Linked DNA regions of Cricetulus griseus. The protein of the gene in region 6 purifies or fractionates together with the protein of the main gene of each other region. This does not show direct contact. Links are inferred from orthologs where the notes say so. Each region holds a gene or a part of one and is shown on either strand. Other genes may lie near its edges. The genes, in order: squamous cell carcinoma antigen recognized by T-cells 3, Snrnp70, CUNH9orf78, Eapp, Bcas2, Prpf8 and Hnrnpu.

Region 1 (3,500 bases), on a different chromosome or scaffold from region 6:
GCATCTCTGTTCTGGGTGTCACCTACAGGTCTCAGGCTCACACTCCCATCCAGACAGGTGCCCATGGAAAAACCCACAGTCTTCCCAAGTTCTGTTATGGCTTAGGACCAGCACCAAGAATCTAAAATTCCATAAGGACCAAACAGCATGCTGAGCCCTGCCTCTCGAGTACCCCACACTGCTAGAGCAGTAGTTCTCATGTGGGCTCCTCCCAGAAGGGGGACATCTGTTAGGAGTCCCCTTGTGGTTGTGGTGGGGAGGACGGCTACTGGTACCAACTGATGAGGTCAGCCACAAGTGCACCTAAGCCCTTCCTGTGTCTGCAGACTGAGGACTACTGCAAGAGAACTCACTCCCACGGGCAAGCAGCCAACCTGTCCTTATAGACCAGATGTTTCCATTGGAGACTACTGGCCAAAGGACCACACTTCAAGCCAGAAGCAGAAGCAGAGTCCCACCTTCTGTCCTCTCCATGGTGAGCAACACTTCGCAGACATGCTCAGGGTAGTCACTCGTGCATTGGACAGCTCGGTGCAGAGCCTTCCGACAGTGCTGTGTGTCACCATGTGCCCTAGAGCAGAGAACAAATAGCTGCCATGAAGGCCCACAGCAAAGAATGTGACAGGTTACTGCTGAGACAGAAGAGCCCTACGACAGTGGCTTTCAGAAGCACCAGGGCCTTTTCTCTCCTGCCACAAGCCTCTGCAGTTGTGAGGGAGGGCCTCCCCTACACATGCTTCCCCTTGGCCAGGCAGGTGCACCAGGGATACACCTCAGACAAGAGCCTCTAGCCAGGCCTTCTGTGCACATGGGAGGGAACCATGCATCAACCGAATGCACCCTGATTTAGCTCCTGAAGAAGTAAGTCTGCAGCCCACCAGAGTGCTCTGCACACTACTGATCCAGATAGTTTAACTCCATGCTCTGAGCCAGGTTTTACCCTAACAGATTAAGATTTGCTAATCACACTGGCACAAATGCACGTATACATGCATGTGGATACTCAAAACCTTCAGAGCAAATGTATGTATGTACATACGTATATATGTATGTATGTATGCATGCATGTATGAGCATACTCAAAACCTTCAGAGTGGTGGCAGCTCATGCCTGCCATCTTGGCAGGCACTTGGGGAGGCTGAGTAGGTGAATCACCATGGCTTCAAGGCCAGCCTCAAGGCTCAGAGCATGGAGTTAAACCATCTGGATCAGTAGTGTGCAGAGCACTCTGGTGGGCTGCAGACTTACTTCTTCAGCTATACACAGTCTCAATCTTGGGAGGAAAGGAGGAAAGGCAAGGTCTTGTTTTTTTGTATTCCCACTAGGTGTAGTTTACTGAATTCAATAATCTAGAATGATCACAGCTTGGACACACACACTACAAACACACCATCCAGGAGCCCACCCTAACCCATAAATAACACTAAGTCTAGACAGCAACCCCTAGCTAATCTGGTGTTTCTCTTTTCTCTTTCAGTGCTTTGAGCTTTCCTATACAAATGCAATAAAAAAAAAAAAAAAAAAAAAAAAAAAAAAAAAAAAACCCACAAGAGTCCAAGCAGGCATGTTCAAAAGAAAAAGCAAACAGCTTAGAAGAACTTCATGGGCTATGAGCCTCCCCACCCCCACACAAAACACTGGTCCTCAAGACTTGCCAGGCATGGGCCCTGCTAAAGGAAGAGGCAGGAGGGTACCCATCCCAAGGAGCAGGCTCAAGTCACCTCAGCCAAGAATGGGTACAGATGTCACCTGCCCTGAGTCACTCACCTTTCCAAGTTGTAATACTCCAGCCACATGTTGGCATACTTGGCATTTCCTCTGGTCATGATGCTGTCCCAGAGTTCTCGAGCTTTCTGCATATTATTGCACAGGCGAGCCTAAAATACATTAGCAAGATCAGGTGGGACAGGCCCTGCATCCTATCACAGCTATATCCACACCATATGCCAAAAACACTCCTCCTTACCCCATGACTGTGTCCCATGAACACCTGAAGGTCCCAGGCCTCCCTCTAGCACTAAAAGGCCTGAAGCCTGGCTGCCTGCCTCTCTGCAGCAGTGAGCCTCACAGGTGTGCACAGAGCTGAGTCTCGGACAGAGCCTGCAGCACAGAAAGGCTCTGAAGCCAGAGACAAAGGTTCTGCAGAGAGGTCTTGCAAACGTGAGGCAGGGCAGCCATTTACTTTTTATATAAACTTGACTACAAATGTTTACTTGGAAAGCATTACAGAGGAAGATAATAATCCATCAGCAGCAAACGCTAACTCAAAGTTATGTGATTTGAACTAGTACCACCACCTAAGTGCAGTCTGTTTCTCATCCTTCAAAATTTAACAAAAATCTTAGAGAATTATACATCCAGGTGAGTTTCACTGACCCAACTGCCATCATGGAACAGGATTGAATCTTATTGAATTTTATAATTCTTTTTTCTTTCTGCTCGGTGTCCCTGGCTCAGGAACAGCATCCACCTGTACCCTCTACTGCTCACACAGTCCATCTTCTGGACAAGGTTAAAGTCTTTAGCACACAGAGACCAGCTCGCTCACAGTACCCTCAGCACACTGGTGAACAGCACACACTCAGTACACCCTCAAGCAGTGAGGGAAGGGCTGAAGAGGTGGATGGATCCACAGCCAGAGTCCAGGCACTGCTGCTTCGTAGACCACACCCTCAGATTCTGTCCCCCAATTCCTGAGTGCTGAACAAAGCCCTCAGAGGAGGGAGTAACAGGCTGTGAAGATGCTCACCTCAACCCGAGCCCAGCTCTGCATGATCACACAGCTTGGATCTCCACTCTCGCTGAAACCTTTCAGAATGGAACGGAACAGTTAGGACAGACATGAAGCAAGCACCCCAGGTGAGGAGAGGTTCAGCGAGCAAGAACAGTCAAGACAACTGGGCAGACAGCAGGCTGGACACTTACGCTCCTCCACCTCCTGCTGCAGATACTCCAGAGCACGTGTGAACATGGACCGCAACTCTTCCAGCTCCTTGCTAGAGTCTGTTGAAAAAGGCAGAGGAACTCCATGAAGTCACCATTCTGAAGTCTCACACCACAACCATGAAGACCCACTATGGACACAGGAACCTCAGTCACATTTCCTCTCACTGTAATAAATGACGGAAAGACGGGGTGGCAGTGATAAACACAGATGCTGCACATCAGGGACAGGCAGGTGGCATGGGGCTGTGTAAGTCCACCACAGTGTGGAACAGGGATCCTGGAGACAAAGATTTAAAAGAGCATGGCAGGGGCTGGAGAGAAGGCTCAGAGGTTAAGAACACTAGCTGCTCTTCCAGAGGTCCTGAGTTCAATTCCCAGCAACCACGTGGTGGCTCACAACCATCTGTTATGCAACCTGGTACCCTCTTCTGGCCTGGGCAGAACACTATACATAAATAAATAAATAAATAAATAAATAAATAAATAAATAAATAAAAAGATCTGGTGCCCTCTTTTGTCCTGCAGGCATACTTGCAGGCAGAACACTGTATAAT
Region 2 (3,932 bases), on a different chromosome or scaffold from region 6:
AGAGGCAGGTGGATCTCTGAGATCCAGGCCAGCCTGGTCTACACAGTGAGTTCCAGGACAGCTAAGGATACACAGAAAAAAAACCTGTCTCAAAACAAAACAAAAAAGCACCTACAATGACTGGTAGACATTTGTTCTTCATCAGAGTGTAACATAAGTTACATAGCTGTAAAGTACAGTTCCAAAGCTACCTGGCAAGAAGAAGAAGAAAAAAAGCAGGGTGGTAGGGGTGCACACCTCTAATCCCAGCACTCAAGAAACTGAGGCAGTGTAGCTGGGCAGTGGTGGCACACACCTTTAGTCCCAACACTCGGGAGGCAGAGGCAGGCGGGTATCTGAGTTCTGAGGCCAGCCTGGTCTACAAGAGCTAGTTCCAGGACAGGCTCCAAAGTCACAGAGAAACCCTGTCTCAAAAACCAAAACCAAAACCAAAACAAAACAAAAAGCTACATGGCTCCCAAAGGAATTCTGCAACTCCCCACAGTTCCAAACAGAAACCCCAAAGAGTGGAGACACAAGACTTTAATCCCAGTACTTGAGTACTTGAGAGCACAAAGCCAAGTAGATGTATCTCTGCAAGCTTTAAAAAAAAAAAAAAGACAAAATGGGGCTGAAGAGATGGCTCAGCAGTTAAGAGCACCAGCTGTTCTTCCAGAGGACCTGAGTTCAATTCCCAGCACCCACATGGCAGCTCACACCTGTCTGTAACTCCAGTTCCAGGGGCTTTATGGCACCAAGGAAGCAGCATGCATATGATAAATAAGTTTTTAAAATAAATAAGTTTTTAAAAAATTCTTTTGATAGGTATTGTTTATTACATTTCTTTCTTTTTACTTAATTTTTCCGTTTATCTTACATCCAAAATAAATAAAGGAAATTAGCTGGTCCTGGAAGTGGACACCCATTAACTGCAGCATTTGGGAACCTAAGTAGGACTGGTATACCATCAAGGCCACTCTGAGCTACACTGTGGTAATGTCTTGCTTGTACAAATAAAGCCTGTTTGAGGGTCGGAGAATGAAGCTTGCCACTAAGAGGTCTGTAGATCTGTCCATTTACACTACATAGCAAAACTCTGTCTCAAAACTCAAACAAAGGGGCTAAGCACGATGGTTCTGCAAGTTAAGGCCCTTTTCACCAAAGGTAACAAACTCAGCTTGCTCTCCTGAGCCCACACAATGGAAAGAGAGATCTGATTCTTTCAAGTTGCCCCCTTATAGGTTTATAGGTTTGCACACACACATCCATACACACCACAAATACAAGTGTAATTAAAACTTAACGATGCCGGGCGTTGGTGGCGCACGCCTTTAGTCCCAGCACTCGGGAGGCAGAGGCAGGTGGATCTCTGTGAGTTCGAGGCCAGCCTGGTCTACAGAGCTAGTTCCCGGACAGACTCCAAAGCCACAGAGAAACCCTGTCTAGAAAAACGAAAAACAAAAACACTTAATGACGGGCTGGAGAGGTGACTTAGTGGGTAAGAGCACTGACTGCTCTTTCAGAGGACCAGGGTTCAATTCCTAGCACCCATATGGCAGCTTACAACTGTCTGTGATTCTGGTTCCAGGGTACCTGACATCCTTGCCAAACACCAATGCATATAAGATAAAAACTAATAAATTAAAAACTTAATATAAAAGAAATAGAACGCACACAAATGCAAAAACAAGATTAAGAAAAGTAAAATCATAAACCACAAAACTAAAATATGTTTAAAATCTCTACTCCAAAATGCAGCCTGCTCTCATTCAGCACCCAAGCCCTTCTAGTAGGCCCCATGTCTCCCTTTACTCACCTCAAATTCCCGGATGTATGGTGCAATGCCACAATAAGGTTGGTTGTGATGTTTTTCATGTGGCAGCTTTTCTAGGGGTGGCAAGTACGGGATGGGGTCTCGAGGGGCAAAGAGGGCCAGAAGGTTGGGAGGCAGAAACTGTGTCATCTTGCCAAACCTGAGACCAGAAACCTTAGGTTAGGGAACTTTAGCACAGGAGGTTCCCTCTAGAACCCCTTCACTCAAAATCAAACAAGCAGACAGGAGAGATCACGAGGACGCTGCTATCTATCCCGGGTGAGCCGGTGGAAGACATCTGCACGAAAAAGGTCGGTCTTGGCAGGAGCTGAGAAACAAAGGACTAAAAACACAGAAAACAAGGGAAAAGGAATCAGGAGGTGAGGGACCTAGAGACCTGAAGCACTAAGCTCAGAGGGTTGCTGGCCTCATACCTTGGAGATTACGAGGTAGGGGTCTCAAGGTAGTCCAAAAAGATCAAGCCAGGGGATCTGCGTAAAATATCTAGGATCCCAGAGGCGAACGGAATTATGGGTACAGATCCAGGATGCGACAAAAAAAAAAAAAAAAAAGCGAGGAAAAGAGGCAACACATAAAACGCAAGGGCCTGTGGGTAGGGGACCGCGAGAGGCAGGGGGAGGGGGACGCTGAGGGGACTCTGGGTAAAGGATGGGGTGGTTTGAAGCGCGGACCCGGTAAGCGGGCCTCAGGCGCGGGTAGAGAGTTCGGGGACCCCGCAAAGGCTTGTGGGTAGAGCGGACCCGAACCCCGTTAAGGCCACTCATTCACTCACTCACCGCGCGGCGCTCTCCTCGGCCTGACGTTAGTCTCAGGCCTCGCGGCCGCCGTTCACCAACAAAAACTCCCGCTCTGGCTTCCACTTCGGCGGCGTCTGCGTCAGCTACCTTCAGAGGTCCGCGCCGCGCGCGCAAACCAGGCCGCTCCTCACAACCCGCGCGGCCTCGGCTCGCGACAGGAACGGAGAGGGATCCGGTCTAGAATCCCTCCGCCGCACGCACCGCGCATGCGCCGCACGAGTCAAAAGACACCCATTTTGAGGTCTTGGCTCTACAGCGAGCACTGCGCACGCGCAAAGCCAAGACTCCGCCGTCAGAGTCCTTCAATGCTTAGGCTGCCTTGGCCTGGCAAGCGACGTGCGCATGCGTGCTCAGGCACTAGGTCGGCACCCACCTCGCGCTCTAGCCAACCGCCTATGCCCGCGAGACACTTACTGATGCCCCACCCCTTTCCCCTTACACTTCCCGGACCCTGTACGCATGCGTGAACGTAAAGTGCCAGGTGGAATATCCTTCCGCAGACTGTTAAAAAGTACCTACCTCATCAGGGTCATTGCTTTTATTTTATTTATTCATTTTTTTAAAGATTTATTTATTGTGTATACAGTGTTCTGTCTGCATGTGTCCCTGCAGGCCAGAGAGTGCACCAGATTTCATTACAGATGCTTCTGAGCCACCATGTGGTTGCTGGGAACTGAACTCAGGACATTTGGAAGAGCAGCCAGTGCTCTTAACTTCTGAGCCATCTCTCCATCCCGGGTCATTGCTTTTAAATTCTATTTAATGGATAAGTTCTCTCCCAAGTGTCTTGTATGTTCTAGACACTGTTTGAACTCTAGGGACACAACATGTGACAAAATAGTCTTCTTGGAGCTTACATTGTTTGGAAATATAATACGTTTGTTTAGTGGGTTTTCTTTTTTGTGTGTTCTGTTGTTTTATTTTTCTTTATTTTTTTACACAAGGTTTCACCGTTTGGCTCAAAATTACCTTGCAGTGTGTGTGTGTGTGTGTGTGTGTGTGTGTATGTGTTTTGGCTTTCTGAGACAGTTTTACTGTGTAGCCCTGGTTGCCCTGGCTTACCCTGTAGACCAGACTGGCCTCAAACTCACTGAGAGCTTCCTGTCTCTGCCTCCTGGGAGTTGTGATTAAATGGGCGTGCCACCATACCCAGCAGGGTTGTGTTTTCTTAATTGTGTGTCTTTTCTGTCAGTCTGTGGTGGGGGTGTGCACATGGTTACAGGTGCCCCCAGGGGTTAGAAAAAGGTGTAGCCCTTGGGAGCTGGTGTTATATGTTGTTCCAGGCCTCTCATATTGGGTGCTAGCACCTGAAGTCAGGTCCT
Region 3 (4,248 bases), on a different chromosome or scaffold from region 6:
TGGAACTAGGTCTTGTAGACCAGGCTGGTCTCTCACTCTGACTCCCAAGTGCTGAGATTAAAGGCATATGCCATCACCACCCAGCTTTTCTTACTTTGTATGTGACCATGTTTGTTAGTTTTGTGTGTGGACAGTGTATATACATGTTTGTGTGTATGCATGTGTGGTTGTGGAGGCAAGAGCCCAAAGTCAGGCATCTGCCTCAATCACTTTCCACCTTAAATATCTCAGACAGAGAACTTACTGATTTGGGTAGACTCACTGGCCAGTCAGCTCCAGGGCTCCAACTGTCTCTACTCCAAACCTTGCTAGGGTTACAGATGGATGCCATCATGTATAGCTTTTGTGCTGGGTACTAGGGGCCTGACTCAGGTCCCCAAACTTGTGCAGCAAGAACTTCAGCACTTTACCCACAAAGCCATTCCCCCAACTTATACTTTGAGAGAGGGTATCTTAGCTTTCTTATTCAGCACATCGTCCTAATCTGCCTCCCCAGTGCTCAGATTATAGGGATGTGTCACCATTCTCAGTTTTTCATGTGGGTGCCAGGAATCCAAACTTGGACCCTTGTGCTTGCACAGGAAGCACTCTGACTAGCCATCTCCCTGGCAGCATGGTTATACATTAGAGACACACTCACAGAAGAACAGCCCCAGAGAGGAGACAACACTCACCACCAGAGTAGTCTCCTCTTGAACCTTCTCTCCCACCAGCAGGGCAGCAGCACTGAGCAAAAGAAAACAGACAAAGAAATGACACAGAGACAAGAAGGAAATCAATCAATATGCTGGCTAGTTTGTTTTGTCAACTGAAACAAGCCAGAGTCACCTGGGAAGAGGAAACTTCAATTGAGAAAATGCCTCTATCATGTTGGCCTGTAGGCAAGCCTGAGGAGTATTTTCTTACTTGTGATTGGTGTGGGAGGGCCATTGTGTGCAGGGCTCCCTTCCCCCTGGGTATGTGGTCTTGTGTTGTATAAGACAGCTGAATGTAAACCTGGGAAGCAAGCCAGTAAGCAGTGCTCCTCCATGCTCTCTGCTACAGTTCCTGCCTCTGGGTTCCTGCCTTGTCTTCCCCCAATAACTGAATGTAATCAGAACCTTTCCTCTGCAAGTGGTTTTGTGTCATGGTCACAGCATAGGAAGCAATCTGGGACAATCAGGTTTGCAGGCTAGAGCACTGATGGAAGGGCATGCCCAAGAGTAGGTAGGAAAGAACACAGTGCTCAGCACACTGAGTGGGAGGGTGAAAGGCAAAGGAAGCAGCTGTGCATGTTCCTGCATAGCCATTTGATTTCATTTTAGCCTGGAAATCACAGTATAATTTGGGTTTTCCAGACAGGGTTTCTCTGTGTGGCTTTGGAGCCCATCCTGGGACTGGCTTTGTAGACCAGGCAGTCCTCAAACTCACAGAGATCTGACTGCCTCTGCCTCCCAGAGCACTGGGATTAAAGGTGCACATCACCACTGCCCGGCTCCCACAAAGTTCTTAAATATAGGGTCTATATTTAATTAAATATAGGGTCTATATAACCCAGGTTGCCCTCAAACTCCCAGGTTAGGATTAGAGGCATGCACCAACAACCACCACAGAAATCATTTATTTCTTAATTATACTTCTCTAATTTTTCTAAACTCTTATCTGTCAACACGTTGTCATTCACAATTCATCCGTGCAATTAAAAACTCCAATTAGGGCTGGAGAGATGGCTCAGAGATTAAAAGTACTGGCTGCTCTTCCACAGGTCCTGAGTTCAATTCCCAGCAACCACATGGTGGCTCATAACCATCTGCAATGGTGTGCAAGTATACATGCAGGCAGAACACTGTATAAGTAATAAATAAAATCTTGAAAAACAAAGCAAAACAAAAAAAACAACTCCAATTAGCAACAGGGTGGTGGTGATGGCTCATGCCTTTAATCCCAGCACTCAGGAGGCAGAGGCAGGCGGATCTCTGTGAGCTCGAGGCCAGCCTAGTCTACAGAGCAAGTTCCAGGACAGGCTCCAAAGCAATACAGAGAAACCCTGTCTGGAAAAACCAAAAAGCAATTAGTGACCTGGAGTAGACTCTGATACCACCAGGCTCAGGGCATGTGGCAGTTACACATTTGAAAAAAAACTGGTCCCCTCTTCGACCAGTGCAAGGTGTATGTCTAGAGAAAGAACTATGTCGAAGGAGATATTTGTAACTGAGACCCTAGCTGGAAGTATCTGTGTCATCAATAAATGACGCCACCCCCACCCCCATGGTACCCACCTCACCCCGTTTGGCCTCTTCCTTAAGTTCTGCACCTCTCGGGTTTCTTCAAGTTTTAACCTGGGGGGAAATGAATAAAAAGCAATGCACAGGCTGAGAGATCCTCTGCGGAACTCAAAGCTTAACTCAGTTCCGGGGACATCCGTGTCTCTCGGCCGAGTCCCTGGCACTGTGGATCACCGGCAGTCAGACCCATGCGACCCCGGAGCACCTTTCCGAGCTTCGGGACCGGGGAAATGTGGCCTTATCAGCAGGAGCCTCTGAAAGACAACAACCCTGGCTCCCGGTCAGTGGTGTCAGCGCAGTGCCGGCCGGTAGCCAGTCCCAAGGCTGTTTCCCTCTTCCTGGGCCGTGGAGGTCATGCCAAACACGTACCGAACCTCCTCTGATTCCTGCTCATCTTCCTCCGACTCCGAGTCAGCCCGCCGCCGGCGGAAAGTCTTCCCAGTGATCCGCATAGCGGCACCAGATCTTAGGAGCGGCGTTACCTGCCGCGTAGTGCCGGGAACCTCTTTCTCTTCCGGCGCGCAGAAGTGTCGTCAGAGGGCCGGCTGCATGCAGACCCGCCTCCGGGTGTCCAGGCCGCGCCCCAGCAGCATAGCCACCAGCTCCCAACTCCAAAAAGCAAGGGCAGGTACAGCCGCGTGGCCACGCCCCAGCGCCGAGACTGTGCCCTCCACCAGCAAGACAGTCTTCGAACCACGTGGCCACGCCCCAGCAGCACGGCCACTCCCCCTACTCCCAGCATGCATGGGCACTCAGTACTCGCACGGCCACGCCCCCAGCACGCACGGTCCCGCCCCCTAGTAGGCAGCGCCATGTGACCCCGCCCCGTCCTTGGCATAGGCTCTCTCGATTGGACAGCTGACGGTAGGGAGGCGGGGCACGACAGGCAGAGCCACAAGACTCTGCGCGGCGTCGCGGTGGGCGCGCTTGACTGACAGGCGGCGCGGTTGCGACGGCAGGTGAGTTCCGGACGGCTGATGCCTGGTGCGGTGGGCTGGGCCGCTAGAGCAGGGACGATCGCGCCGCCGCTGCGAACTGGGGAGGCCTGGCTTTGCGGGGCAGCCGCGATCTGGGGAGAGGTCCCCGCCGCCCACCCTCCCATCGACCGGCTCCTGTGTCCGCCCCAAGTCCCCACGGCCCTGGCTTCTCCTGAGCAGGCCGCACGTCGCTCGGAAGGCCAGCGCGAGGCCACTCGGGCTCTGGGCCTCAGATGTGCAAATTTATTTCTCACGGACAAAAGCTGAGCGCCTTGGCGGGGGTGAATATCAGTCCCGATACCAACTCCCCCGTACCAGGGTGGTCTGCTGCTACTGGTCCCTAGGAGGGATGCCACTGACGTTCAGAGGCCTCTCCAAGGGTGTGAAGCCGGGGACTGCCCTTCGAGAGCTCGGGGTGTCTCCTTTGGCCTGGAGGACTCGCTCTGTCCTACACACCTTCCACCGCCAAGATGTTGCGAGAGTAGTTAGCTTTCAAAGGTATCCATAAACACTTAGGAGATGGATAAGTGCATGCGTAATGGCTCACATGGGACTTATAGGGACTCCTTAATTACTAGTTTCCTCTGGAGCAAAGCACTTCTTAACTGTGGCAGGGCTAAGCATTCTCTCCTAAAAGTCTCCGGTCTAATCTCACGAAGTAGATGCAGTTGGGTCTGTCTTCCAACTGAGGAAGTTAGAGAAGGCTGAGGCTTAGAGAAGTAACCTGTGCTTCAAGTTACACAGCTGGGAAGGGGAGCTCAGGTGGGGGCATAGTTTTCCCAGCTGTGGGATTTGCATCAGGGACAGCGGGCCTCTATGGCATTCCAGTTCATGGGCTGGGGCGGGGGGGGGGGGCGGGAGACTGATGGAGACTTTTTTCTGGAAAACTATTCTAAAGCAGGGAGGCATGTCTGCCATGCTTTGGCTTTTCTCCAGAACAATTTTCTCTGAGGTTGTCGTTCCTCTTAAACTAGGACAAAGAAGACTGGGATGTCTTGAAACAGCTT
Region 4 (2,935 bases), on a different chromosome or scaffold from region 6:
GAGCACTGTAGCACAGTTCTGAGTCCAGCACAAATAGCCTCAGGAAATGTCTGATATCTCAAGATTCTTTTCTAAGTGAAAGGACATGAACAATAGGTCTTAGTAGTGTTTTATTTCATGTTGCTTTTAGTAAGCATTCAAAACAGGTTTCATTATGGCAACTCCATATGCATATCACTGAACTTTGCTCATACTTACTGCCCCAATTCTGTTACCCCACCAAATGGTCAACACGCCCCACTTTCCGGGTCCTCTGTGTGAGTGTGTGTGCACGTGCACGCATGCTTAAGTCAGTCAGAGGAAACTTTGAGAGTCAGCATGTCCTTCCACTGAGGACTCCAGGGCTCGAACGATGGCAGGTTGTCGGGCTTGCACGCCATATGCAGAGCCATCTTGCTAAGCCCTAACTCATTTCGTTATAAAGCACCAACCTCTAGTACTTTGTTACGGCAATAGAAAATGGATCAAACGCTAAGAAACAAACACTTACTCCAAAACAATTTAACTCTAGGAAGCTAATTTAATAAATAAGAAGTACCAAAGTCTCCAAAGATGCACCAAAAATGAAATGATCAGCCCCGTCATTACTCATGGGAAAATTACAAAGCAAAAAGAGTGAGGAGATAGAGGTGGATAACCATTTTCATAAAGATGAAATACTGCTTTAATCAGTGTCACTGAATGATAGAGAAAATAAGAGTCCATATTTGCTTTATACAGTGCTGGGAAGCCACTACCTGTTTGAGATAGGGTTCAAGAATGGCTTGCTAAAACATTGAAAAAATGAAAGACTTCATCCTTGTCGTAGACTGCCACTTCAGTTGAACACTCTGTGCACATGACAGGATGGTAGATTTCTTCCTCTTCTGTCTCCACAGGACCCTCAGCGTTAGACCTCATCTTCTTAGCACCCCGCTTTTTCTTCCTGTTTTCTGGATTCTTGTATCTTAGAACCTCCTCTCTGTTGACAGAACAATTCATCACAAACATTGCTCTGTACTGAGTCTTGTAGGATTCATGCCTAGAGGGAGAATGAAATGGAGAGTTAGGACTTAATAGTTGTCATTTTTAGATCAACTCTGAGAACCCCTAACATGAATATTCACCAAAATAAAGACAGGGGAGTGAAATGGAAATTTAAGGAAATTTGAAAGAATTATTTATTTACTTCTTTTTTTTTTGAGACAGAGCTGTGAAAGCTAACCTGAAAATCCTCCTGTCTCAACCTCTCAAGTAATGAGAATGCCGGCATGCACCGCCACTCCATGGAGACATATATTTCTTAAATGGAACGTAAGGCTGGGTGTAGTGGCACACACCTTAGATTCCAGCACTCAGGAGACAGAAGAAGGGGGATCTCTGTGAGTTCAAGGACAACCAGGGCTACATAGATACTCTGCTTCAAAAAAAAAAAAAAAAAAAGCCAAGGCTCTTAACCACTGAGCCATTTCTCCAGCTCCCTGCAGTGGCATATCTTAATTGGGCATGTTAATTAGGTGAACCAAAGGGGGCTTTTGATGGCTGGACTTTAATACTTTGATAGCTGGACCTCAGAAGTCAGTCTCAGGAGGAGGAGGAAGTAAGGGAATAGACCTTGGTGGCTAGCTTTAGGAATGTAACCTAACAGTTTTTTCGCCAGGCAGAGGGAATCCGGGAGAAGGTCAAGGCCTGCCAGAGGCACCTGCTTGAGTGGGCTAGTTAGTGTCCCTTCACCACCAACCTCTGCGACCTAACTAGAAAACAGCATTTTTTTTTTCCTATTGCTTTAAAAACAACTTTTAGGGACTGCAGAGATGGCTTGGCTGCTAAGAACATTGGCTGCTCTTCCAGAGGACCTGGATTTGATTCCACCATCACATAGCAGCTTGCATCCATCTGTAATTCCAGTCCCAAGGGTTTTGATACCCTCTTCTGGCCTGTGGGCACTGCACATATACAATGCACAGACATATGTGCAAGCAAAGCATCAGTAAACACACAATAAAAATAAAGGGGAAAAGCCAGGCGATTGTGGTACACACCTACACAGAGAAACTCTGTCTTGAAAGAACAAAATAAAATAAAATAAAAAATAAAGGAGGAGGGAAGCAACTTTGATCCCAGAAAAAAATAATTATTTCTATAACAATTTTTAAATTTGTTTTTAAACTTAGTGGGTTTGCTAAGCTCAAGCTTACCATCCTGGCTAAAAATTATCTGCTTCTAATTTATCTGAACCCCTGCCCTCACTCCTGTTTGTTTGTTTGGTTGGGTTTTTTTTGGGGGGGGGTTGTTTTGTTTATTTTTTCGAGACAGGGTTTCTCTGTGTAACAGCTCTGGCTGTCCTGGAACTCACTCTGTAGACCAGGCTGGCCTCGAACTCACTGAGATCCTCCTGCCTCTGACTCCTAAGTGCTGGAGTTAAGGGGTGTGCAGCACCGCCCAGCTCTCACTCCTGTTTTTAAGCAAAACACTACCACAGAGGTAACCTTTTAGCAAATCCACTTTGTTCTTTAAATTTTTGCAACTGTATCATATGCTATAGTTACTACTCTTCTAGATTTTGGTCAAATAAATGTCTACATAATCAACAAAAATAGTCTAATTCTGATTTAAGCAAAGGCCCACCGAACTGTTTTGGTTCTGGGGAAGGTTTGTTCTATCGTGGGGCACACTCACTCGGGTCCATGTTATATGTTTACCTTTGTCCCTTACCTTTGGCAATCAAGGCACAGTGTAGTCATGCAGGCCGGGCAATTCAAAACAGCATCACTGTTTGGAACAGGCTGTTGTTTCTGATGGGGTCTCTGCAATCCAAAAGCATGGTAACTAAAAATAAATTTGAAAAGGAAAAATACATTAATCAACTAAATCCTGGTTTCTAATGTCACAGTCCAGAAAAAGGAATCAGTACTCAGAGAAATTACTCATTATTATTATTTACATTTCTGATTGA
Region 5 (3,973 bases), on a different chromosome or scaffold from region 6:
AAACACAACTGTATGCTGTAACAAAAAAAAAAAAAATTTTCATAAATGTGAACTAGTTAACCTGTAAAAGTCACAGAGACTCTGATGTCTCTCATCCCTGTTGAGATGAGACCCCTCTTGGGTAAAGTCTGCCTTACCATCTTTTTGAAAGTTGCTTAAATGTATTATATTTGCTAACATTTTTGTTTAAAGAAAAAAGGCCGTGATCATGTTTATAACTGGCAGCACTGTATCTTCTAATCTCACTGCTCACGGCCTCCACACAGCTGGCAATGCTCTTCCCAACCTCAGCCACCGCTGTCGAGTTCCCCCCAAGCCTAACCTCACTCACCGCTTCATGCTGAGTAATTCAATTGGTTGTCGAGCAGCTAGCCTCTCAAATTCGTTTCTCATTATGTCAGTCTGATGAAGAAACAACACAAAGAATTAGTACCAGGATCAGGTTGAAAATAATGTTTACTGAGATCTTATACTTTGTACTACATTATAATGGATCTTTTTGCTTCTCTCAATTACCAACCCCATCTCCCTTTTTAAAGGATATTAATATTTGACCCAGGTCTCACACATGTTCTCCCACTATGCTACACTTTCACCATCCCCCAGTTTGGGTCTGGGCTTAATTTTATCTAGGGTCTTGAAGAAATAGACACCCACTTTAATTCTATAGTCTGCCCAGGCACAAAAGGAGGCAAACATAAAAGAACCTGTGTGTTAAGGATTAACCCTCAATCAGCAGTTTTCAATGCACTGCAATCAGTTGTGGAGCTGTGAAGACAACTTTTACCCAGCCACACATTACATTGTATTTCACAACATATGAGAGCCTTGAATCTGAGCCAAATGTTTCAGGCAGTCTCTAGTGCTGTGTAGTGTGACACAGTGTAAATCCCACATACTCCAGTTTAAAACCTCGACTTCAATAAAGTCACAAGATGAAACATTGGATTTGAGACTTGATTTCTGAACTAATCACATGGAGTTATAAAAACCCCGGGAGGGGTTACAACACAGTTGTAACCTGGGTTCTAAATGAGGAAGGTATCACAACAACTAACCCCACACAGGGAGCAGTTTCTCTGCCTGAAAAACCTCTCTCAACCATCTAATTAATGTATGACAGTCACCCAGTTGCTATCACATCTGTGTAGCCCTGGCTGTGCTAGAACTTGTTTTGTAGATCAGGCTGGCCTTGAACTCACAGAGATCTACCTATCTCTGCTTCCCGAGTTCTGGGATTAAAGGTGTGGGCCACAGCCAACCAGCAACATCATTAATTTTCTATTTGGCATTTATCAAAAATATCCGAGACTTTTTAATTTATCTGCCCATCTCAAAACTAGAATCTAAGTATTATGAGGATACGAACTGTGCCTATTCTGTTCTGTAATACATTGCATATTCTGTTCAGTTTGCATAGACAGTACATAAGCACTTTCTGAATAGGAGTCCAGTAGTCTAGGAAGCAACAAGAATTCATACATGCAACTGCAACAAATTAAAAAGCTTTTCCGATAGGGGGTGGCAGCGCACGCTTTGATCCCAGCACCTAGAGGCAGACGGATCTCTGTGAGTTCGAGGCCAGCCTGATCTACTTGAGGCTCTGTCTAAACTCACACACACACAATCCTGCATCAAGAGCTGGACATGGTGACTTACACTTGTAATTCCAACACTCACAAGCCTGAAGCAGGAAGATTATCCCAAGTTCAAAGCTGACCTGTCTTAGTGAGTTATAGGCTAGCATGAGTTCCAGCCTTAAAAACCTTAATTGGCAGAAGAATAAAAATGAACAGTTATGTAATTCATAGGACCATTTTCTGAGCTAGGAAAAATAGTTCAATACACCATTAACAACTACTAAGAAAGTATTAAATTAACCAGAACACTAATTATAAAGGCAGGAACCGCGCTGCATTTTAAAAGGTTAGAAAAAATGTATTAAAGCATTTAAAAGTTTGCAAATGAACACCTGATTAGGACCTAAATGGTATTTTGGTTGCACTTGTAGGATAACAATTTTAAATGGTATGCAGTTAGGCATGTTTGTTCAGGCATTCATATATCCGCTAACTATCTGAGTTTTGTTACAAAAATCTCCCTTCAGTGGTTGCAAAGAGTACAGGTAGTTAAGATTATAAATATTAAAATCCCGTGATTACTACCTGTTTTTGACTGGACCTTAGAGAATAAAGGATAAGGGGTCCTTTAGGGAAGTTTACTAGGGACTCTTAAAAATAAAAGACCCAAATATTTTATTAAACAAGTCTGCAGAACCAATAAAGTATTTCTTGTAATACGAACCCTGAGGAAAGCTCATCTGGCTATTTTGAACCAACTGATCTTGACATGCAACATGAGCAGCAAGCAGCAGTTGCTTCCAGAGCTAAAGCCCTCAATCCGAAATCTAAGCCGGCAAGAATCCTGGTCAGGATGCGGGACTCAGGACACCGCACTTACTTCAAAGGCAGAATAATCCGGGGCTGTCAGGTAGCTCAGGTAGTTCTTGGTAGGTCGGTATCTGCGAGTTTCCTCCTCCACCAGGGCCGCAGCCTAAGAAAGAGAACAAACCGGGGTCAAGGCGAGAAAGGGAACCATGCCTCGGGTGACCCCCACCCCCGCACGCGCCCCATACTCACCGCTTCCCGCACGCCGGGAGCCTCGTAGCCTTGGTCAAAGTACGGCAACGCATCCACCACCACCTCCCCGGCTACCAAACCCGTGCCTGCCATTGCGCGGCACTCTGCTCCACCAACGCCGTCAGTCTGCGCCGGCTCGCTGCTATGCCACTGCGCCTGCGCGCGGGATGACGTCACACACAGCGCCGCCTCTCGGATTCGGGCCGTGTGCAGAGCGGCTGATTCTGTAGCCGCTAGGTCTTAAGGACTGTTTTGTTTGAGGCCTTGCGCACTGACGTCCCGGTAGACCTGGGATTATGCCTGTCTTTCCTCCATGGCTACGAGGACGATTTTATTCGAGTTTAAGAGAAAAACAACAGGGCAGACCGGAGGCAAGACATGCCCTTTGAGTTAGACATAGATGCTAGCAATGCAGTGAGACTAGCATAGTAGGAGGGAGAGGGGTTTAAAAGACTGAGAATTGGGGCGTGGGAACTTTTCAAGAGGTGGTTGCTGGACTTCACTGGAGGGGAGAAATATACTTCCCACGCCCTTTAAAGAAGCTGGGGGTAGGCGTTGGTGGCGCACGCCTTTAATCCTAGCACTCGGTTGGCAGAAGCAGGCGGATCTTTGAGAGTTCGAAGCCAGCCTGGTCTACCGAGCCAATTCCAGAATAGGCTCTAAAACAATACTGAGAAACCCTGTCTCGAAAAAACAAAAAACAAAAAGAAGCTGGGGGTAAGCCGGGCAGTGGTTGCACACTCCTTTAATCCCAGCACTTGGGAGGCAGAGGCAGGAGATCTCTGTGAGTTAGAGACCAACCTGGTCTACAAGCTCGAGTTCCAGGACAGCTCAGTGGTAAAGCCCCATCTCAATCTTCAGCGCTACAAATGAACACCTCATCCTTCCAAGGACTGGAATTCTGTCTACAGGATGCTTTGCTTAAAAAGCTTTGCCATGTTTTTGTCTCTGGGGCCTACATAAAACCCAATCATTTTGCCTTTAGGATTTGTGGTAATAGTGATCCTCCTAGGCTCCCTTCCCCTCAGGCTGTAACTAGTATACATTCTCTGTTAAGTATACCCCAAAACTAAGAGGTAAATGCAAAAAAGATTGTTGGACCTATGTGTCCTGCCTAATGGGCATTCAACCAAGGCTTATCTGTTAGAAAAGTTGGTCTCAGCTATAAGCCTGGTTATTCTAAGATTGATATGGGTATTTATGATTTTACATTATGTAAATGTGCTGCCTATAGGTTTAAGTAAAGTGAAAGAGCTTCACAACTTGTGGTTTGATGAGAACTGCCTCTCCTAGACCTACATATTTGAACACTCCCAGTTGGTGGCGCTCTTGTG
Region 6 (2,776 bases):
CACTGACTGTTCTTCCAGAGGTTCTGAGTTCGCTCAATCACAGAATGCTTGCCTGGCATGCTCTAACGCCCTGGGTTCAGTTTCTTGAGAAGAAAAAAAACCCAGCAACTTAAAGCTGGTGAGGTGGCTCAGTAGGTAAAGCATCTCATACAAGCCTGACAATCTGAGTTTGATTCCCTAGAACCCCTGTAAAGGTGGAAGGAGAGAACCTATTTCACAGACTTGTCCTCTGACCTTCACGCTCACTCAGTGGCATACACAAGTCCTCTTACATACACATACATAATAACAATACATTGAAATTTCTTTTTCTTCTTCTTCTTTTTTTTTTTTTTTTTTTCTTTTTTGAGACAGGGTTTCTCTATGGCCTTGGAGGCTGTCCTGGAACTAGCTCTTGTAGACCAGGCTGGTCTCGGACTCACAGAGATCCGCCTGCCTCTGCCTCCCAAGTGCTGGGATCAAAGTCGTGCACCACCACCGCCCGGCCACATTGAAAATATTTTAAAGTTATTTTTATTTTATATTATTGGTGTTTTGCATGCATGTATGCCTGTGGGAGGGTGTTAGATCCCTTGGAACTGGAGTCACAGACAGTTGTGGGTGTTCTCTGGAAAAACAGTCATAAACACACACACACACACACACACACACACACACACACACACACACACACACACACACACGGGTGTTTTGCTACACATATATCTGCACCATATGCATGCAGTACCTGTAGAGGGCAGAAGAGAGTGTCAGGTGCCCTGGAACTGGAGTTACAGACAGTTGTAAGCCACTGTGTGGATGCCAGGAATCTGTCCCAGGTCTTGTGAAAGAGCAACCAATACTCTTAACCACCGAGCCATCTCTCCAGCTCCAATTATAAATTTTTATGAACTTTTGGATTCAGTGGCTAGAGAGAGGCACTTGCCACTAAACCTAATGACCCAAGTTTGATTTTCCCAGATCCTGGGGACAGTTTAAGATGAGGTTTATGTGTAACATTTTGAACAAGTAACCAGATGATTCTTCCCCAGCAGTTTTTGACTGTGTTTTGACAAACTAGCTTTTTCTTGGGAATGGGAAGAAATTCTGGCATTCTGTGTTGGTACTGAGAATCGTTTCTGATCCCCTCATTTCTAGATTGCAGGGTACCTATATGGGGTGAGTCCTCCAGATAACCCTCAGGTGAAGGAGATCCGCTGTATTGTGATGGTGCCTCAGTGGGGCACTCACCAGACTGTGCACCTTCCCAGCCAGCTGCCCCAGCATGAGTACCTCAAGGTTTGTGGTGGTGGAGCCTGGGAATTGAACTTACTCTCATGTTACCCTAATGGGTGGCATTTGTCTGCAGATAGGTTGAACAGCTCTTTGCTCTTTGCCTGCAGGAGATGGAACCCTTAGGTTGGATCCACACTCAACCCAATGAGTCTCCCCAGCTATCACCCCAAGATGTCACCACTCATGCCAAGATCATGGCTGACAACCCATCTTGGGATGGCGAGAAGACAATTATCATCACCTGCAGGTGGGTATGGGCCTCCTTGAGTGGAAATATTTTAAGGTAAGTATTGCAGGTCAGAGCCTGGATTTGTGGCCTGAGCTCTCAGCCTGTCTTTTTCCCTCCCCCCAGCTTCACCCCAGGCTCCTGCACACTGACAGCCTACAAGTTGACCCCCAGTGGCTATGAGTGGGGCCGACAGAACACTGACAAAGGCAACAACCCCAAAGGCTACCTGCCCTCACACTATGAGAGGGTCCAGATGCTCCTCTCAGACCGATTCCTCGGCTTCTTTATGGTTCCTGCCCAGTCCTCCTGGAATTACAACTTTATGGGTATGTGGTTGTATGCGACAGCATGGGAGCGTGGACAGGGTAGGGGTGGAAGTAGGAGAAGCCAGCACTCTTGGCTCTTGGGGTCTGACTGCCCAAGGACCCTTGTTAACATCTGATGTTTCCCCCTCTCTAAGGTGTTCGGCATGATCCAAACATGAAATATGAGCTGCAGCTGGCAAACCCCAAGGAATTCTATCATGAGGTCCATAGGCCCTCCCACTTCCTCAACTTTGCCCTCCTGCAGGAGGGTGAGGTCTACTCTGCAGACAGAGAGGACCTCTACGCCTAGTTATTTTCTTGCTTCCTTCTGCTTCGGATTCCCCAAAGGCTGGAGCCCATAGACAAGCTGCTGACATTCAGCAGCCTGGCCCCTTTTGTGTTTTGTGTTTGTGTTGTTGATAGACTGTAATCCTGAACAAAATGTAATAAATTTTGTATAAATAGGAGTGCTGTTGTTTTCTTGCTCTTATGAGTTCAGATTCTGGGTGTAAATTACTTTGGGGACTGGCTTGGGCAGTTCACAACAAAGTTCTGGGCCCCGGCCTTCAGGCCTTTGAGGTTCCATATACCCTAGACTGAATTGGGCCTGGCTTTCATACTCCACTACCTTGACCATATTTGTTGGTTTGTGTTCTTGGAAACCACCTATTTTCAACATCGCTTCTAGGACTCTGGTCCTGTAGCTGTAATGCCTGGCCTTGTCCATTTGTAAACCTTGTCGTTCCTGGTGGGGTAACAAGCACATCGGTGGCTGTCCCAGCAGTCCAGTAAAGGCTATTTGCTGACCTTCAGTCTTTCACCTCTGGAGTGCTTGGCAGCCAAGTCTAGGGGTGGAGCCTGGATCAGGCACTACGGGGAGGGTTTGCCTAAAGTGACCACTTATAGCCCTGCCTCTCAGCTCTTGGATACCTGCCTGGAAGTTGGCTGTCCTGCCTGTATCCAGTGA
Region 7 (4,021 bases), on a different chromosome or scaffold from region 6:
AAATACAAATCTGACAGCTAAAGCCCATTTCATGGCTTGCAATACTTCCTCATACTCTAAAGTAGCATATTTACAGCGCTGCCATTGATACCATTCGCTGCTGAAGAAAGCTAGTGGCTCAGATAGCCCACTGCTGCTGCCCCAGGTCTTTGGAAGAAATCAACTTATGTTAGAGCAGCAGCTACTGAACTGGAATTGAGAACAAAAGAGCAGTTATTGAAAAGGTAATATGACAATCCTTAGAATAGGGAATGTACTTGTGCGCTAATGGGAAAATCGTTAGTAAGTATTCAACTAGCCCAAATAGCTCACTTAATATAGTAGCTCCACAGAAAAATTTTAATTTTCATATTACCTATCTAAGGACATGTTACAGGCAGGTTTTAAAAACAAGTTTCTGAAAGCTGAACAAAAATCGGTATTAGTTTTACATCCCTAAATATTGGGAACTTCCATGACATAAGTATCAATTAGTAGAGCTTGTAAAAACAGCAATACAACTGAAGTGTCGCTAAACATAAAACTACTGTAACCTGAACATGAGCTATTATCTTCCTGATTTAAAACAATCTAACGGGTTTTCTCCACTTTAAGATATACAAACACACTTTTCCTAAGAGTTAAACCAAAATAGCACTGCACTTAAATATTTGAGAAAAAGAGCGGGAAAGTTTGCTTCACTTACAAGTATCAAGACAAACCACTGTGTCATCGAAGTGTTCGTCTTCTTCTTCAACAGGTGGCTGAGGAGACTTGGCTCTGAAAGACAGAATCGTCTCCTGATAAAGCTTTCCCAACCACGCATAAAAACTGGGTGACAAATAAAACTAGGTTAGGATCCTCTACCTGCTGTACTTGTTTTCTTCAATGTACTCAAAATATCCTCGGCCATGATCTTCTCGCGGTCTTTTAACACCTCTCTTTTTATCTCCTCCTTTCTGTTCTGTTTTACCGTCTCCTATAACGACACAGAACACAGCCTTAAATCATCAGGCCACAGACTGAATTATAGAGAAAAGCTCCCGTTTCTGTTCCGGGACTTTTAGGGGCTGTTATTTTTTCCCTCCTAGACTGGATCTCGGACTTTTTTATTTTTGGTTTTTCCAGACAGGGTTTTTCTGTGTGGCTTTGGAGGCTGTCCTGGAACTAGCTCTTGTAGACCAGGCTGGTCTCGAACTCACAGAGATCCGCCTGCCTCTGCCTCCCGAGTGCTGGGGAAAAAGGCGTATGGCACCAACGCCAGGCGAGTTCTGAGACTTTTTAACCCACGAAACTAATATGAATCTAGAAAAAATCGTATCCATCAGCCTGGAACTGCACTGGAGACGGTGACGCAGTCTAAAGACGCTGCTAATCCTGCCAGCCTAGGGTAACCTTCCGGAATGCATTTAAGGACTAAAACCGCGCGCCCGCCGTCCGGGCCCACGTGCTGCGCGCCGTGCGCGCGGCGGCGGCGGGGGGTGTGGGGGGGAGGGCAGGGCAGCGTGGGCCCGCCTCCCCTCCCCCATCCGAGCCCGCGTGCCCCGCCGCCGCATTGTACTGAGCTTCCGCCTCACTCCCCGCGCCCGGCGCCTCCCGCCGGAAGTGACGTCACACCGAGCCCCTGCGCTCCTTGCACAATACCGCGGCGCTGAGCCGCCAAAGCCCGCCCGCCCCGGGACCTTCCCCCTCCCCCCAGACATGTGCCCGAACCGCGCGCACGCAGCGCTCCAGCGGCCGCCGCTCCCGCCCGGCTCCTCCCCCACCGCGGCAGCTGCAGCTCCCCCCGGCGCCCGACACACATAATGGAGGAGGCGCCGCCGGCATGGCGAGCCCATCCTCTCGGCGGCCCCGGGGCTCCCCCGCCCCCCCCGCCCGCCCGCGTCGCTCGCCCCTGGGGCCCCGGCCGGCCTGGGGCACGGTCCCCACGCGGGCCTACAAGCCGCGCGCCCGCCCGCCCACCACGCAGCCCTCACCCGCCGCCTTCCGCCTTCCTACCTCCGGCCTGCGGCTGGCCCTGCCTCGCCCCGGGCGGCGCCACCGTCACCGCGAAGAGCGAGGTGGGGCCGCTGCTCTTGCCCGCGGCCTCCTTGCCGGCCCCGCGCTGCTGCGGGGTCTGCGGGGCCGCCGCCGGCGGTTGGGACTGCTGCTCCCCGTGGCCGTTCTCGTCGCCCGCGCCCTCCTCCTCGTCGCCGAGCTCGTCCTCCCCCTCCTGGAAGCCCTGGTCGTCGCCGTTCTCGTCTTCCGACGCCGCCTCCTCCTCCTCCATCGCGCCCGCGTCAGCCGCCCCCGCCGCCCCGTTCTCCTCGCCCAGCTCCATCTGGTCGCCGTCCAGGGCGGCGATGCCTTCCTCCTCCTCGTCGTCTTCGGCGCCGGTCGCGGCCTCCTGCTCGAGGCCCGTCCCCGAGCGCCCGGCCGCATCGCCGCCCAGGTCGAGGCTGCCGTTCCCGGGCTCCATGGCGGGGCGGCCGCCGGCCTCGTTGTCCAGCGCGGCCTGGAGTCGATCCATGAGATCGGCCTTGAGGCCCTTGTCGGAGAGGCGCCGCTTCTTGAGCTCCTCCTTCAGCTCCGACACCTTCAGCTTCTTGACATTAACAGGCGAAGAACTCATGGTGAGGGCCCCGGTTCACCGCGGACTGCTGGCTCCCTCGGCCTGTGGCGGCGGCTGCTGGTCGGCCCGGGCGGCGGCTGCGGCTGGAGATGGCTGAGTGCTGCAGAGCGGACCCGCCTGGTGTCGAACGGCGCCAATTCCTTTCACCGAGTTCGCGAGGCAAGACGCGGAGACTCGCCTGGCGCGAGCGAGCACGCAACGTCCTCTCGCCGGGGCGGCGCCGCGCACGTAATATAGGCGCCCCGCCCCCTGCCGGGGCGGGGCTCGCTAGGGCGGCTGCGCGCGCAGGCCCCGCCCCTTCCCCGCCCCGCCCCCACGGGGCGACCTCGGCGCTGGGCCCCGGCGCGCAAATGGAGGCTCAGGAAGCCGCCTTTCGGTTAAACCGACTGGCCGCGGCGGCCGCCGGCCTTTCCGGCTTCTCGGCGGCCGCGCTCCACGGGCCGTCCGCCTCCGTGGGCCCGGAGGAGGCTCCCCTGCACCCGCCCTGCGTCCTCATCTGGCATTTCCCGCTGGAGGACACCCTCCTTTCTTCCATCTTAGTTTGTCTTTTTTTTTGTCTGTCCCTCCGGCTCTCGCTTTAAGACTCCGCCAAGTTTCCGCTGCTGCTCCGCAGAGCACAAATAAGCGGCTGTTAGACAGAGGTGGTTTTTTGTTTTGTGTTTTGTTTTTTTCTTCCTCCACTTCATTGCAGTTTAATTTTTTACAAGCCCTGCCTTGCCGATCGGACTTTTTAAGTTCCGCAAGGGCGAGGCCCCAGCGTTTCTTTTGTCTCTTCCATACCCGGTGGTGCAAGGCCTGGGGAGGCGCAGGCTTGCCCTACCGCTCCGTGCCGCACGGCATGCAGTGTGGGCCTTGTGCACTTCTCACCGTCTTTACTAGTGACCCTTGAGTAACCCCTAGAATTGCATGGAAGATTCCCCTAGACTCACTGTAAAGACAGGCCTCTTGCAGGAAGGACTTCCCTTAGTTAACCATGAGAGGGACATCCAGCTAAATTTTAATGCACTTTGATTCTCCCCGTTTTTTCAGACACACACTGAGTTGTCTACACACTTGCAGTCCTATCTCTTGGCAGACTGAGGCAGAAGTATCAAGAGTTGAAAGCCAGCCAGGGCTACATAGTAAAGTCCAGGCCGCCTTGGGCTGTATAGTCAGACAGACCCCATCTCAAACAAACAAACAAAAAATTGTTGCTATTTTTCTCTGTAATTAAAAACATGTTATGTTCTTGAAACTTTTAGGTAGAAATAGAATTTATTTTCTGCACGGGCCATTCTGTGTAGATTGTGCCTAATAGGTGTGTTTATACAGGTCTATAATTACAACCCTTGGGAGATGCAGGCAAGAAGATCAAGAATTCAGTCAGCCAGGCAGTGGTGGCACACACCTTTAATCCTAGCACCAGGGAGGCAGAGGCAGGCAGATCTCCCA

The links.
Region 1: the proteins of Prpf8 (region 6) and squamous cell carcinoma antigen recognized by T-cells 3 purify together in Homo sapiens (affinity purification with mass spectrometry; 4 studies listed by BioGRID, with this or other methods). This does not show direct contact. The link is inferred for Cricetulus griseus from reciprocal best matches to the Homo sapiens genes PRPF8 and SART3.
Region 2: the proteins of Prpf8 (region 6) and Snrnp70 fractionate together in Homo sapiens (co-fractionation; 3 studies listed by BioGRID, with this or other methods). This does not show direct contact. The link is inferred for Cricetulus griseus from reciprocal best matches to the Homo sapiens genes PRPF8 and SNRNP70.
Region 3: the proteins of Prpf8 (region 6) and CUNH9orf78 purify together in Homo sapiens (affinity purification with mass spectrometry; 4 studies listed by BioGRID and IntAct, with this or other methods). This does not show direct contact. The link is inferred for Cricetulus griseus from reciprocal best matches to the Homo sapiens genes PRPF8 and C9orf78.
Region 4: the proteins of Prpf8 (region 6) and Eapp purify together in Homo sapiens (affinity purification with mass spectrometry; 4 studies listed by BioGRID and IntAct, counting the BioPlex papers as one, with this or other methods). This does not show direct contact. The link is inferred for Cricetulus griseus from reciprocal best matches to the Homo sapiens genes PRPF8 and EAPP.
Region 5: the proteins of Prpf8 (region 6) and Bcas2 purify together in Homo sapiens (affinity purification with mass spectrometry; 3 studies listed by BioGRID and IntAct, with this or other methods). This does not show direct contact. The link is inferred for Cricetulus griseus from reciprocal best matches to the Homo sapiens genes PRPF8 and BCAS2.
Region 7: the proteins of Prpf8 (region 6) and Hnrnpu fractionate together in Homo sapiens (co-fractionation; 3 studies listed by BioGRID, with this or other methods). This does not show direct contact. The link is inferred for Cricetulus griseus from reciprocal best matches to the Homo sapiens genes PRPF8 and HNRNPU.

Annotation. Positions count from the first base shown.
Region 1 is NC_048597.1:93,397,029-93,400,528, forward strand, and holds part of squamous cell carcinoma antigen recognized by T-cells 3, read right to left. Parts: intron 3,004-3,500; coding exon 2,926-3,003; intron 2,809-2,925; coding exon 2,750-2,808; intron 1,878-2,749; coding exon 1,768-1,877; intron 572-1,767; coding exon 459-571; intron 1-458. UniProt on the Homo sapiens protein: U6 snRNP-binding protein that functions as a recycling factor of the splicing machinery. Promotes the initial reassembly of U4 and U6 snRNPs following their ejection from the spliceosome during its maturation.
Region 2 is NC_048599.1:154,300,798-154,304,729, forward strand, and holds the start of Snrnp70 (U1 small nuclear ribonucleoprotein 70 kDa), read right to left. Parts: upstream 2,801-3,932; 5' UTR 2,590-2,800; intron 2,330-2,589; exon of another isoform or gene 2,227-2,329; intron 1,953-2,226; 5' UTR 1,943-1,952; coding exon 1,796-1,942; intron 1-1,795. UniProt on the Homo sapiens protein: Component of the spliceosomal U1 snRNP, which is essential for recognition of the pre-mRNA 5' splice-site and the subsequent assembly of the spliceosome. SNRNP70 binds to the loop I region of U1-snRNA.
Region 3 is NC_048599.1:142,695,128-142,699,375, forward strand, and holds the start of CUNH9orf78 (telomere length and silencing protein 1 homolog), read right to left. Parts: upstream 2,801-4,248; 5' UTR 2,717-2,800; coding exon 2,634-2,716; intron 2,319-2,633; coding exon 2,259-2,318; intron 727-2,258; coding exon 675-726; intron 1-674. UniProt on the Homo sapiens protein: Plays a role in pre-mRNA splicing by promoting usage of the upstream 3'-splice site at alternative NAGNAG splice sites; these are sites featuring alternative acceptor motifs separated by only a few nucleotides. May also modulate exon inclusion events.
Region 4 is NC_048598.1:147,621,302-147,624,236, reverse strand, and holds the end of Eapp (E2F-associated phosphoprotein), read right to left. Parts: intron 2,809-2,935; coding exon 2,695-2,808; intron 1,022-2,694; coding exon 754-1,021; 3' UTR 501-753; downstream 1-500. UniProt on the Homo sapiens protein: May play an important role in the fine-tuning of both major E2F1 activities, the regulation of the cell-cycle and the induction of apoptosis. Promotes S-phase entry, and inhibits p14(ARP) expression.
Region 5 is NW_023276806.1:53,787,774-53,791,746, forward strand, and holds the start of Bcas2 (pre-mRNA-splicing factor SPF27), read right to left. Parts: upstream 2,801-3,973; 5' UTR 2,733-2,800; coding exon 2,640-2,732; intron 2,554-2,639; coding exon 2,461-2,553; intron 403-2,460; coding exon 332-402; intron 1-331. UniProt on the Homo sapiens protein: Required for pre-mRNA splicing as component of the activated spliceosome. Component of the PRP19-CDC5L complex that forms an integral part of the spliceosome and is required for activating pre-mRNA splicing.
Region 6 is NC_048600.1:88,960,612-88,963,387, forward strand, and holds the end of Prpf8 (pre-mRNA-processing-splicing factor 8), read left to right. Parts: intron 1-1,137; coding exon 1,138-1,278; intron 1,279-1,382; coding exon 1,383-1,522; intron 1,523-1,627; coding exon 1,628-1,830; intron 1,831-1,964; coding exon 1,965-2,119; 3' UTR 2,120-2,276; downstream 2,277-2,776. UniProt on the Homo sapiens protein: Plays a role in pre-mRNA splicing as core component of precatalytic, catalytic and postcatalytic spliceosomal complexes, both of the predominant U2-type spliceosome and the minor U12-type spliceosome.
Region 7 is NC_048598.1:15,817,816-15,821,836, reverse strand, and holds the start of Hnrnpu (heterogeneous nuclear ribonucleoprotein U), read right to left. Parts: upstream 2,801-4,021; 5' UTR 2,591-2,800; coding exon 1,978-2,590; intron 959-1,977; coding exon 847-958; intron 760-846; coding exon 686-759; intron 1-685. UniProt on the Homo sapiens protein: DNA- and RNA-binding protein involved in several cellular processes such as nuclear chromatin organization, telomere-length regulation, transcription, mRNA alternative splicing and stability, Xist-mediated transcriptional silencing and mitotic cell progression.